3 linked regions of the Arabidopsis thaliana genome follow. The protein of the gene in region 1 interacts with the protein of each later gene in a pairwise test. Each region holds a gene or a part of one and is shown in the gene's direction. Other genes may lie near its edges.

Region 1 (4,470 bases):
AAGGACCGACCTTGCAATTACTCCCTTTTGCCTCTGTCCTAATGGTTTTCCCACCGACTTTTGGTTAACCAACGAATACAAAAACTAAGAAAACTCAGAGAGGACAAGGCAAAATGAAGTACCTTTACTACATTCCATTGATCCCAATAGGTTTGAGAACTCCTCCTATCTTCTTTCCATTGTCTTGACTCAAAAATCCAATTCCTAAACGCTTTGTCCCAGTCTTGTGCATAGTCCTCCAAGTAGTCAAGAAAATCAGTACACTCATCAAATGCTCTCGCATCTACATATCTGAAATCCCCTTCAACATTCATTGTCTCGTGGTTCCCATTAACCTTTAAAATGTGACAAGAAGTTACTCTTTGTTAGTCCTATCAATTATCATCATTCTAGAACTAGCAAATTAAAATGTGTAGAGTGCAAAAGCTTCTCTGTGTAAAATTTACTTATGAAATTCAAGTATGATAGCAATCAAAAACCTGGAAAACAGCTCCACCATTAGCCTTGGCCTGATCATCAAGTGACCTCAATAAGGAGAGTATTGCGATTTCATCATCACCGCGATCAAGTATATCTCCTACCTGAACTAGTACCTGTATTTTCATTATGATTTCACAACTCATAAGCATTTAACTCAAAAGAATCAGTCATCATAATGAACCTCAAGATGCGTAATGTTGAACTCTAGCAGATACTGTCAATAATATCATCAAGCAAACCATTTAACACGATACTGAACCACTAAGAGATAATGTACATACGGTGTCTTGGCCGACCCACTGGTCTCGTCCGTCGGAGCTCAAGACGCCAGCCAACTGAAGTGCGTCTCTGGCTTTACCCAGATCGCCATGAAGGTCTCCAACTGTGAGTGCATATCCAAAACCAAAACCTACTCAATTTTGTTGTCAAATTATCAAAAAGATTGAAACTTTTCAGATTAATGGTGGCGAACCTGCAACGATACGACGAGCAGGAGCAGAGACGAAAGTGGGTGGATCTCCATTGATGACAATCGGCTTCAGAGCAAGTTCGTTACCATTAGAAGTGCTCAACAAAGAGGAAGAAGAAGGTTCTAAAAGTTTCTGGGGGTGAGAAGGAGGAAGTGGAAGTAAGGAATTGAGGTAAAGGGAAGCCATTGGTATTGGTGGTGGAGAAGCAATGATCCACCAGAGCTTTGATGAAATCACTTAACATTTGTGTTCGTCTGGTCTATAATTTGTGTGACTTGTCTCCAATTGCATGCTCAGTAATCAAATCCCTTTTATCTATCTACTGGCTGAGGTTTTTCCTCTCAATTTTTGGTTTTTCTGTTTTTAATAAAATAAAAGATAACCACAAAGACAAAAATTGGGCCTCTCAACCTTATCAAACTTATCGATCCCAAAAATGAATAATATGTCCATTGGGCCATCTAAAGCCCAAGTGTACTGGACGCCGAAAATTCAACGTAACGAAGTCATCGGCCCATAACCAATTTCCATGATGACCAAACGCACAACGCGGTTGTTAAATTGCGTTCACGTTCTGTAAACATCAAACCAGACAGAACCAAAAGAGAAAAATCGAAACGAAGACAAAGTCGTGGTCGTGGCACTAAGAAATTACAGATTCCATTAAAATACAAACAGAAGCACACAACTAAGTCAGACATGGTTCCCGCGTTTAATCTCCGAAGACTTTGTCAATATTATAGTCTTCGTCTATGGATTTTCGTCTTTATTCTCCCAATTCCACCAATTCCGTAATTTCCCCGAACATTATTAATTCCCATCCAATCATATGGCTGAAGCCGGTGACGAGAATCTTTACGCCGCCGCCAGAGACATCGCCAGAGCTCTCGGCAAGGATCCAAGTGCCGCCGGAGATATCTTACAGATTCTCTCCGGTTATGGCGCTTCCGGAAACCGCGGCGGAGATCCTCGACCCACCCCATCCCGCGGCGGCTCAAACGTCAACTTTGACCGAGCCCTCACCTCTTTAGAGAGACAGATCTCCAGCTACATCGTGGAAGATCGACCGATCTGGTCTGATCCCGTTGACTCGCGCACCTTCCTCGACTCTGTTGATGAGCTACTTGCGATTGCCGGAGACTTGAGATCCATGGCCGGAGATAAATCCGTCGCCGTCTGTCAATCCCGTGCCGATGAGCTGATTCAACAGGTGATGTTTAGGCTTCAAGAAGAGTTTGGATTTGTAATGGACCGAGCCCCTGACTCGTTTGACTCGGACGATGAGTTCCCCGGCGAAGAAGACAACGACACAAGCGACGGGGTAATTAATTCATCTGTAAATTTATTACTAAATTAGTTTTGGAATTAGAATTAGAAAATTCGGTTTACTATCGGTTATATTGTGGTTAAGTGATTCACAATTGAATAGGTAATCGTTGCTCGTCCAATCACTGATTACAAAATCGTGATCGAGGCGTTACAATCTAGCGTTATTGGCGATCTAAACGCGATCGCTGTGCGCATGGTCGCTGGTGGATTTGCAAAAGAGTGTTCAAGAGTGTACAGCAGTCGACGAAGAGAGTTTCTAGAGGAGAGTTTGTCGAGGTTACATCTCAGAGGACTAAGTATGGAGGAAGTGCAAGAGAGTCCATGGCAAGATCTTGAAGACGAAATCGACCGTTGGATTAAAGCCGTAACGCTGATATTCCACGTTTTCTTCCCGAGCGAGCGTCTTCTCTGCGATCGCGTTTTCTCTGATCTTCCTGTTTCCTCTGTAACCGATCTTTCTTTCATGGAAGTTTGTCGCGGAACCACAACACAGCTTCTGAATTTCGCAGACGCGATCGCTTTAGGAAGCCGTTTACCTGAACGTTTGTTTAAGGTTGTGGATTTATACGAAGCGATGCAAGACCTTATTCCTAAGATGGAAACGCTATTTTCTGATCGATATTGTTCGCCGCTAAGGCATGAGGCGCTCGCGATTCATAAACGGTTAGGAGAAGCGATTAGAGGGATATTTATGGAGCTGGAGAATTTAATCCGACGTGACCCTCCCAAAACAGCGTTTCCTGGCGGTGGGATTCACCCGATCACGCGGTACGTGATGAATTATCTGCGTGCGGCGTGTAAATCGCGGCAATCGTTGGAGCAGATACTTGACCAGACAGGAAATGAAACCGGATCAGATACGAGACCGTTGTCTGTGCAAATCATATGGGTTTTGGAGTTGTTGGAGAGTAACTTGGAAGGCAAGAAAAGAACTTATCGTGATCCGTCTTTGTGTTTCTTGTTCATGATGAACAATGACAAGTATATTCTTGATAAGGCTAAGGATAACGAGCTAGGTTTAGTCCTAGGAGAAGATTGGATTGTGAAGCACGCAGCGAAACTGAGGCAATACCATTCTAATTACCGAAGGAGCTCATGGAACCAAGTGGTGGGATTGCTTAGGACCGATGGTCCGTATCCCAAGTTAGTAGAGAACCTAAGATTGTTCAAATCACAGTTCGATGAGGTGTGTAAGGTGCAATCTCAATGGGTTGTTAGTGATGGGCAATTGAGGGAGGAGTTAAGAAGCTCTGTTGCCGGAATTGTATCTCCGGCGTACTCGAATTTCATCAGAAGATTGAAGGAGTCACCGGAGATTAATGGGAGGCGTGGAGAGCCGTTTATTCCGTATACTGTTGAAGATGTGGAGTTTATAATCAAACGGTTGTTCAAGGAAAGCTCAAGTTGATTAAATTAGATATGAAAAGAAATTAAAAAATTCTTATTAATTGAATTTTTTTGTAAAATTGTGAATCATTCTGTGTTTTTTTATCTTTCTTGGGTGAATAATGTTCATGGATCGGTGGAATCACCTTTTCGACATTGATTTGTTCATGTATTGCTTTTTTGATGTAAGAAATTTCCTTAAGGTTAAAATATAATTCGTTTGGGTTTCAAAACGGACTTACGAGCATTGTGCTATAGAGTTACAACTTACCAGGATAGAGTAGTATAATATCATAATAGTATACATGTAAAACCTAGCTTAAGCAAATACGAAAGATTATGTGAACCCACAGGGAAATAATTATAGATTGACTACAGATTAATTAATATATATGAAAGCAAAATGAAAATCAAGAGAGTACGTGGAAAATTTGTTCAACAAGACTGAGACTGATGACTATGTAAGCAATTTGGGAAGGATGAATATCGTCCCAGAAAAGGTACTGGTTAGGGTTAGGACAAATCCGAGTTAAAGCATTGCACAAGTACGCTAACTCTATTTCTCCAGTCCCGCAACATCCTCTCGTCGTCTCCTTTAACCCTGTCCCATTCAAAGGAATAACATTGATAACTACTTAGCTTTGTAATAAAATGAAATATTTTATAGTCTTGAATGTTCTCTTATAACAAACTATAATTTCAAAACCTGTAAAAAAAATTATCAGTAAAAATCCTGTAAAATACATGCACTTCACACGTATGTGATATATACTAATATGAGAGAATTGTGCGGAGAAAATTGGAT
Region 2 (4,688 bases), on another chromosome or scaffold:
GATCCATACTTTTGGAGAAACATATTACCTGACTCAAAATTTTTTTTCAAGGGGCTAGATTAAGCTGAATTTATATAGATAATTAACACTTTCAAGTATCATCACCATTTAACTCTTCCATTCAAATGCAAATACTTGAGTGGACAGGATAGTCTTAATATTGATAAAGTAATAGAAAAAATAAAGACGTTATGAACAAAGAAAAACCACTAAATATATTGTAGCTCAGTTAAAGGAAAAATATATATACCAAATTAAGGCTTAAACGATAAATAATGCATATAACCCACTTTTCAGTGCCTCCATGGATAAAAGGATTTAGCAACTTTAAGGAAAAAAGGTTTATACCAAAAAAAAGTTCAAGGAGAAAAAGACCACTGATTTACAATTGTTGGGTAGTTTGAAGTCCCAAAATGTTAAAAATTCAATTAAAAAAATTGTGACAGCTAATAAAAATGGAACTTTAGCTGGATTCGGAAGATTTATTTTATTGAAAATAAGGATTCTGTTTTAATTATAGCTCTAATACAGTTGAATTGGTTTTTTATAGAAAAACATTTCTTTATTGAATTTTCTTCAATGGAAAAATATCATTTTAGAGTGAATAAGTACAAAAAATAATAAATGTTGCTTTCAACAAAAAAAGGAAGGAAATTTTATGTTTTGGCTTTGTATATTTGCTTTCAACGTCATTAAAACGCTTTTTAAACCGGAGATATGCATCTTGTTTTCCTCATTTACAAGTTCACAAGATGATTAATTACATTACTTGGGTCATGGGCTTAAAAAGAGAGAGTTTGGGTCCAACTAAAAAGGCTCAGTAAAATACGTAAATGGGCCTAGCGTTATAGCGAGAGGCAGAGAGAGAATTTACACGACGACGACGTCATACTCAATGGACGTAAATGTCCAAACTACAAAAGTTTTTTTTTTTTTTTGTGTATTAAAAAAAAAATCTCAAGTTAAAAACACATCAAGAGTATATTACAGCAACTTGTGTGTTAAATCACCAATTGTGAATAAATCGGTTATGGAAATCAATCATTTTTTTTTTTGGTTTAATGGAAATTAATCATTTGATCGTTAAGAGTGTCACTAATTCGATACGTCACTTGCTGACGAATCTGCAGATGAAATAGGCATGGTATGATAAATCTCGTTAAGAATAAAATTTCACCTAGATGTTTGAGTAATTTTTGTAAGATGATGAAAATTGTAACATTTTTCATTGAAAGAAGCAAAGAGACAAGCAACAAGACAAGAGTGTCCCCACGCATGTGAGCACCGTTAACCATAATAGAAAAAAGATATCTTCATCTAATAATAGGTGAAAAAATCTTATAACTGAGCAAATTTTAGAGAATGAAAATAGTGATCTGTGAAATAATTTTTTTTTTTTTTATGATAGACCTCACCTAACAACTAGAAGAAATAATATAAAACCATTATTACTTATATTGATAAACTCTTACAAGATCACTGTTTCCATAAATCTTGACAAAAATGTCACTCCATATGTTTGGTGTACAAGACTAGAAACTGTAGTTTTGAGTTATGTTATTATAATGTTAAACTGTATTATGCTCAAAATTGAACTCCTTTTGAAAGGTGGTTTATCTTCTTTACTAATCGTTTCTTCATTTTCTCTCTAGGAGCTAGGTGGGAAAAAGATTCAACCTTGTCTTAGAAAAAGAAAACCAAAGCTAATCTTTTTCTTTTGTACCTCTCTTTCAAGGATTAACAAAACAAATCGATGAAGCCCGGGTTTTAGTACCTAAACATCTCTTTGTCTCGTCTTTGAAAACCCCCCCAAGTAGATCCAACATCATTCATATCTCTCTCTCTATCTCTGCATAAGCTACGGAGCGATGTCGGCGTGCATCAATGGCTTATGCAGAGCCGTGACTGTCTCTCTTCTTCTTCTTCTTCTTTCTTTCTCTTTTTCCTCAGCTTGCTCCAATGGAAATTGCCAGGTTCTTGATTCTCTTTGCTTATTATTCTCTGGTTTATGGCTATCAAATTTGGGTCTAAATCTTTAGGGATTTTGCATTTTTGTGTCTCTTTCAGCTGCTGGATTCATGCTCCTCGGCTACTGATTGTGTCTCTGGTTTATACTGTGGAGACTGTCCTGCCGTTGGAAGAAGTAAACCCGTCTGCACAAGAGGCCAAGCCACAAGTCCAACTTCCATTGTGAGATTTAGTTCCTATAATTAGTTGGATTTCTCTAGAGTTTCCAATTTTTGAAGATGCGTTGTTTCAAAAGATAGTCTAGATCACTTGGTCTATCAAAAGTTTTGAACTTTGAAGATGGGTTTTGCTGAAGATTTCATTTGGTTGCATTAAAAGATAGTCTAGATCATTTGGTTGTATCAAAAGTTTTGAACTTTGAAGATGTGGTGATGAAATTTGTGTGTGTGTTTTTTGTAGATCAATGGATTGCCTTTTAACAAGTATACATGGTTGATGACTCATAATGCCTTTAGCAATGCAAATGCACCACTTTTGCCAGGTGTTGAGAGGATTACATTTTACAATCAAGAAGATACTATTACTAATCAGCTACAAGTAATGCTCTTATTACCAACTCTCTTATTATAGTTTCCTCTTTTTTTGGATAAAACTCTTGAATGTATATTTTTGTTCTAGAATGGAGTTAGAGGGCTAATGCTGGATATGTATGACTTCAACAATGATATCTGGCTTTGCCATTCGCTTCGAGGGCAATGTTTCAACTTCACCGCTTTTGTAAGTTTTATCTTCAGCTTAACCTTGCTGGATCGAAAGCTTGAAACCTGATTGGATTGGTAAATGTGAACTTTGTTTTCTTTTTGAATCAGCAACCTGCAATTAACATACTGAGGGAAGTTGAGGCATTTCTGAGTCAAAACCCAACAGAGATTGTTACCATCATAATAGAGGATTATGTGCACAGACCTAAAGGCTTATCAACACTGTTTGCCAACGCTGGTTTGGACAAATACTGGTTCCCTGTTTCGAAAATGCCTAGAAAGGGAGAAGATTGGCCTACTGTGACTGACATGGTGCAAGAGAATCATAGGCTCCTGGTTTTCACTTCTGTTGCTGCCAAAGAAGATGAAGAAGGCGTTGCGTATCAGTGGAGATACATGGTTGAAAATGAATGTGCGTATTACACACAGTTTATATCTTTAATGAAAATTGTCTCTGAGAATAACCTTCTCTTGCCATTTTCTTATGATTGTCTAAAGCTGGGGATCCCGGAGTGAAGCGAGGTTCTTGTCCTAACAGAAAAGAGTCTCAACCTTTAAATTCAAAAAGTTCTTCGCTATTCTTGATGAATTACTTCCCGACATATCCGGTTGAGAAAGACGCTTGCAAGGAGCACTCAGCTCCACTTGCTGAGATGGTTGGGACTTGTCTCAAGTCAGGAGGGAATAGAATGCCAAACTTTCTTGCTGTTAACTTCTACATGGTACTGAATCAATCATATAACTATAATATGACTGTTTTTACGAGATCTAGCTAACAAACCATAATATTGCAGAGAAGTGATGGAGGCGGCGTTTTCGAAATTCTGGATAGAATGAATGGACCGGTACTTTGCGGTTGTGAAACTCTTTCTGCTTGCCAGGTATTAACTTATTAACTCGCGCCAAAGTTACTTATGGGTATGAAATAAGATCTTACAAGCCTAAATTATCTAAAACCGGCACCCGTATTTTGGTTCTTGATGTTGCAGCCAGGAGCAGCTTATGGTTCATGCAAAAATGTTACTGTACAGACAAGAACTCCAAGCATGGATTCAACGGCTGGAAGCAACTCAGGTGGAAGCTACTCAGGTTCAGTTCAGTTCTCAAGATCTTTAGCTTCTGTGGCCCAACTAAACAACATTGTTGTCTTCTGCTTCTCATTGCTTCCGTTGCTGATATTTCTACTATGACACAACCAATCAAACCACGTGGAGAGATTCTTAGGTTAGAGAATCTTGATCACTTCTTTAGAACGAATGAGAGAGCCTAAGTTGACATGAATTGCCTTAGAAAGAGTTTCTGATTTGATTCTTGTATTGTAGACTGCAGAGCTATAGGCAGAAATCTTGTGTATGTGTGTCTTCAGCTTCTGTTGATTGTTATGCAACTTATATATATATATATATAGACACAATTCTACTCCAATAGAAACTTTACTGAATATTTATATATATATGTTGTTGATTGATGAGAGAACACATAAGATATATGCAGATTCAATTGTATGAATTACTATGTACACAACAAACAAGAAATATGATGAGCAACACTAGACAGCATGCAGCAACGGTGGTGGATTCTGAGCATTGAGAAGCAATTCCATGGGTTTGATCTGAAGAGCAGGACTGATGGTAAGTAAAGCAATGAAGCAATCTACAGGAACTCTAGTTCCCCATAAGTTGATGGATTCGAGTTTTCTGCATTTGTTTACAAGAACAAGAAGGCCTCTCTCTGTCACATGACGGCAACACCACATTCCGATTGTCTGCATAAAGGATTCCAATTTCGAAAGCGTGATTCTCATGAATCTAGAGAGAATTATTTGGTTAGATGATTGTTGTTACCTTAAGCTGATGGCAGCGTTCTGCAATTGCGAAAAGAGACTCATCGGTTATAAATGTTCCTCCTATGTTTAGGTGTTGCAGTGAGGAAGTTCTTGAAATCTGTCAAATCAAAATC
Region 3 (3,755 bases), on another chromosome or scaffold:
CAATACTTAGGGATGAAGACGAAGGAAGTGACTCGGATGGGGGTGATTTTGAGTCTGTCACCCCTGAACACGAGTCAAGAAGCCTTGAAGAACATGTCACACCGTCCATTACCGAAAGGCATACCCGTATACTGGAAGATGTTGATGGTGAGCTTGAAATGGAAGACGTGGCTCCACCTTGGGAAGGTGGAAGCAGTGCTAGTGCGATCACAGATCAAGCTGATAATAGAGAGTCTGCAAATTGTCTGCTTGTCCCTGGAACTTCACATCAGAATGTTACCTCGTCATCTCCACCAGCTCGCCCTTCGCAGAATGCTCAGTTGGCAATGTCTAATTCCTACTCAAATGGCTTTGACTACCGCAGAAATCCCAGCATGCAGGTGCGTCCTTTTTCTTCTTTTAGAATCTTTTGCAGTTAACAAAGTGAGGATTCAGACATAGTTAATAACTTAATTTGTGGTTAATATTCAAGGGCGACTATCATGCCGGTCCTCCAAGGATGAATCCCCCAATGCATTACGGAAGTCCTGAACCATCTTATAGTTCCCGAGTATCTTTGTCAAAAAGCATGCCACGTGGGGAGGGTTCTAACTTCCAGCATAGGCCATATCCATCTTCTCATCCCCCACCTCCTCCGCCATCACATCATTATTCATATATGGAGCCGGACCACCATATAAAGTCGCGGAGAGAAGGTCTATCATACCCTCACAGATCTCATTACACACTGGAATTTGACGAAAGGAATTATCAAGACAGCTATGAGAGAATGAGGCCTGAACCATGCGAGAATCGAGACAATTGGAGATATCATCCGCCCTCTTCTCATGGTGGACTCCGATACCTTTTTTTTTTTTTTCCTTATAATTCTCATGCATGCTAATAGGCATATATGAATGCATATATGAATGCATATCTGCGCACACAAGCACTTGCTCATGGATGCTAATAGGCGTGAATGCTTTTCTTTTTTTTATATTGCAGGTCCACGATATCATGACAGACACAAAGGACCTCATCAATCGAGCTCATACAGTGGGCATCACCGTGACTCAGGAAGGTTGCAGAACAATAGGTGGAGTGATTCTCCGCGTGCATATAACAATAGACACTCTTATCACTATAAGCAGCATTCGGAAGGTCCTGTTCCAGTAGGAATGAGAGGTAATATGGAAATTCATACTTGTTCCACGTCATGAATCAGAGCCTTTTCTTATACTGGAATTGTTTCCTAGGTTTAGAAACTCTGACATTTTCTTTTGACTGGGGATTTTATATCATTAGGTCTCTGAGATTCGAGATTGTTTTGCTTGTCCTGTGGGTATATCTTGAATATAAAAATGAACTTGGAGTATGTTTGTGGATATGCAGATCCAGGGACGTGGCATCAAAGGTGAGTGGGAGACAAGAGATGAAGAAGGGCAAAGGTGCAGTCTGCTCTAAATGAAAGACATTTGGGCTATAGTCATGGAAAAGAAGAAATAGGGAGAAACAAGTGTAGGTTGGAAAGACCTGGGCCACTTGAGAGAGATGTTAATATACAAAAGAAAAAAGGCACAGTTGGTGTGTGTACATATGACCAAAAACGTCGTGGAGAAGGCTAAAGAAACAGTCGTGAAAAGCCATTTGTTGTAGTAGAGAGAGAGAGATTTGAGTTAGGCAATACTGTCACTGATTTAGGCATTTGATATTTTGTAAACAAAATTTTTTGGTTTATTTTTGGGGAGTGGTGGTAATACACACTAATATGCATTTCTGTCACCTGGAGAGATGAGATGTCTCTAAAAAATGGTCAAAGAGGCGATTAATTAGTTAAATAGCAAATGGAAAAAACAATTAGGGATGGGTTTGTTTGTTACCAAGGAATTAACATAACAGCTGTAATGCTGCTGCGAGATAAAATGAACAATGAAGAAGCGGAGACCTGTTGACTTCAAATAATTTTAATTAGTTTCTTCTGTGCGATAGAGATCGATCGAGAGATGGGTGCTTCATCATCATCATCTGTGTCGGAGAAATCAATCCATCAATTCACCGTCAAGGTTTTCTAATTTATGAATCCCTTTTCTTCATTGTTTGTTTATCTGATGAATGAATGCGTTTCTGACTTGTTTGTCTGATCTATCGGAAATTAGGATAGCTCCGGCAAGGAGGTTGACCTAAGCGTGTATCAAGGGAAAGTGCTGCTCGTCGTCAACGTCGCTTCTAAATGGTCCGTCAGATCCTCCGATCATCTTCTCTCTAGTTAATTATTATTTCTTGATTCTAAATTTTTTGTTAACAAACAATTTGGGGAACAGCGGATTCACGGAGTCCAATTACACCCAGCTGACGGAACTTTACCGGAAATATAAAGATCAAGGTCAGACCATACAAGAATATTAGAATAGGAATGTATATATTCCTTTCTAATAAAGAAGACTCTTCTTCTTTTGCTTTCCCTTGTTACTTCATCGTTTATGTAAGATTTTTTGTTTTGGTTTCCTTTGGATCATCATCAGGTTTTGTGGTATTGGCGTTTCCTTGCAACCAGTTTCTGTCCCAAGAGCCTGGCACCAGCGAAGAGGCTCATCAATTTGCTTGTACTCGCTTTAAGGCTGAATACCCTGTTTTCCAAAAGGTACCTCAACAAACAAGACACTTTTCTTCTTCATATGCCTTTAATAGGTAGCTGATTTTGTAAGTTTATAACTAAGCATGAATGATCATGATCATCTATGTGTGTGTGTAGGTGCGTGTAAATGGACAAAACGCTGCACCAGTCTACAAATTCCTCAAATCTAAGAAACCCTCTTTTCTTGGAAGTCGTATCAAATGGAACTTCACCAAGTTCTTGGTCGGCAAAGATGGTCAAGTCATTGATCGTTATGGCACAACTGTTTCACCTCTATCCATCCAGGTCTCTAACTCTCTTGTTCTTCATATTCTATTATAAAATCATATCACTCTTTTATGGCTTACTTCATGTTTGTTTTCTGCATAACAGAAAGACATCGAGAAAGCCCTTGCACAAGAATTGTGAACACGCACAGAGATATTTGACTCCTTTGGAAGAAACTTCTCTCATACTCTCGGTCATGCAGTCAAGTTTCTACATTTCCCATTGCACCTTCCATATGGGCCTTGTATTCATCTTATGTGTAACTCTACTAGCCATTTCTTTTGTGAAATTTGATCAAAGGTGATTCCAATAAGTTGATTTGAACCCATAAAAAAAAGAAAAAAAAAAACTAATTCCAACAAATACAAACCACCAGCTAAGCTAAAGATTAGACGAAATCAGCAAGATCAAAATAAAACATCAATGATTTTCACTCAAGAGAACGCCTATAACAACGTCTTAGGATACCAAAAGACATTTTAGTCTATCTATCACTCTCACCATTTACTTTTTATGGTGCAAATTACTCAGTTTCGACGATAATTAATGTTTAAATCTGTCTCATGTGTTCAATGAGAACTTCTTTCCATCTGTAATGTATCGATTATAAGTGGCGTATCACTCTCACGTGCGCTGTTTGTGAAACGTGGCAGACAATTGAAGAAATAGAGAGTACAAAGGAGAAAAAAGGAGTACTTAAAAGGAGACCTTGACCACTCTTTCATGCATCCATCCTTCTTCTTTCTTGTCTTATCAGTTTCTTTTGCTTTTGTTAGAGATTAGTCAAACTACTGATATTATTAACATTAACCATTTTTATGGCTTTATTTTGTGAACAAACGACCCACCTATCCCATAATCACTAATTAGACAT

What was found. The genes of interacting proteins can lie anywhere in the genome.
Region 2: the proteins of EXO70B2 (region 1) and AT5G67130 interact in a protein complementation assay, tested with the Arabidopsis thaliana proteins (one large-scale study listed by BioGRID).
Region 3: the proteins of EXO70B2 (region 1) and GPX5 interact in a two-hybrid assay, tested with the Arabidopsis thaliana proteins (one large-scale study listed by BioGRID).

What each region holds. Positions count from the first base shown.
Region 1 is NC_003070.9:2,149,615-2,154,084, reverse strand, and holds EXO70B2 (exocyst subunit exo70 family protein B2), read left to right. Parts: upstream 1-1,543; 5' UTR 1,544-1,779; coding exon 1,780-2,271; intron 2,272-2,379; coding exon 2,380-3,687; 3' UTR 3,688-3,927; downstream 3,928-4,470. Other genes in the region: SLP1 (Calcineurin-like metallo-phosphoesterase superfamily protein), read right to left, coding at 1-33, 123-335, 480-581, 662-694, 777-889, 953-1,136; AT1G06990 (GDSL-like Lipase/Acylhydrolase superfamily protein), read right to left, coding at 4,076-4,266. UniProt on the Arabidopsis thaliana protein: Component of an exocyst subcomplex specifically involved in autophagy-related, Golgi-independent membrane traffic to the vacuole. Regulates autophagosome formation and autophagy-related Golgi-independent import into the vacuole.
Region 2 is NC_003076.8:26,789,731-26,794,418, forward strand, and holds AT5G67130 (PLC-like phosphodiesterases superfamily protein), read left to right. Parts: upstream 1-1,568; 5' UTR 1,569-1,868; coding exon 1,869-1,973; intron 1,974-2,067; coding exon 2,068-2,190; intron 2,191-2,427; coding exon 2,428-2,565; intron 2,566-2,646; coding exon 2,647-2,745; intron 2,746-2,837; coding exon 2,838-3,141; intron 3,142-3,227; coding exon 3,228-3,451; intron 3,452-3,523; coding exon 3,524-3,610; intron 3,611-3,718; coding exon 3,719-3,919; 3' UTR 3,920-4,152; downstream 4,153-4,688. Other genes in the region: AT5G67120 (RING/U-box superfamily protein), read right to left, coding at 1-7; AT5G67140 (F-box/RNI-like superfamily protein), read right to left, coding at 4,279-4,494, 4,574-4,672.
Region 3 is NC_003074.8:23,308,179-23,311,933, forward strand, and holds GPX5 (glutathione peroxidase 5), read left to right. Parts: upstream 1-1,558; 5' UTR 1,559-1,982; coding exon 1,983-2,042; intron 2,043-2,135; coding exon 2,136-2,212; intron 2,213-2,300; coding exon 2,301-2,362; intron 2,363-2,501; coding exon 2,502-2,620; intron 2,621-2,731; coding exon 2,732-2,899; intron 2,900-2,986; coding exon 2,987-3,022; 3' UTR 3,023-3,219; downstream 3,220-3,755. Other genes in the region: AT3G63070 (Tudor/PWWP/MBT domain-containing protein), read left to right, coding at 1-380, 473-830, 985-1,164, 1,372-1,397. UniProt on the Arabidopsis thaliana protein: May constitute a glutathione peroxidase-like protective system against oxidative stresses.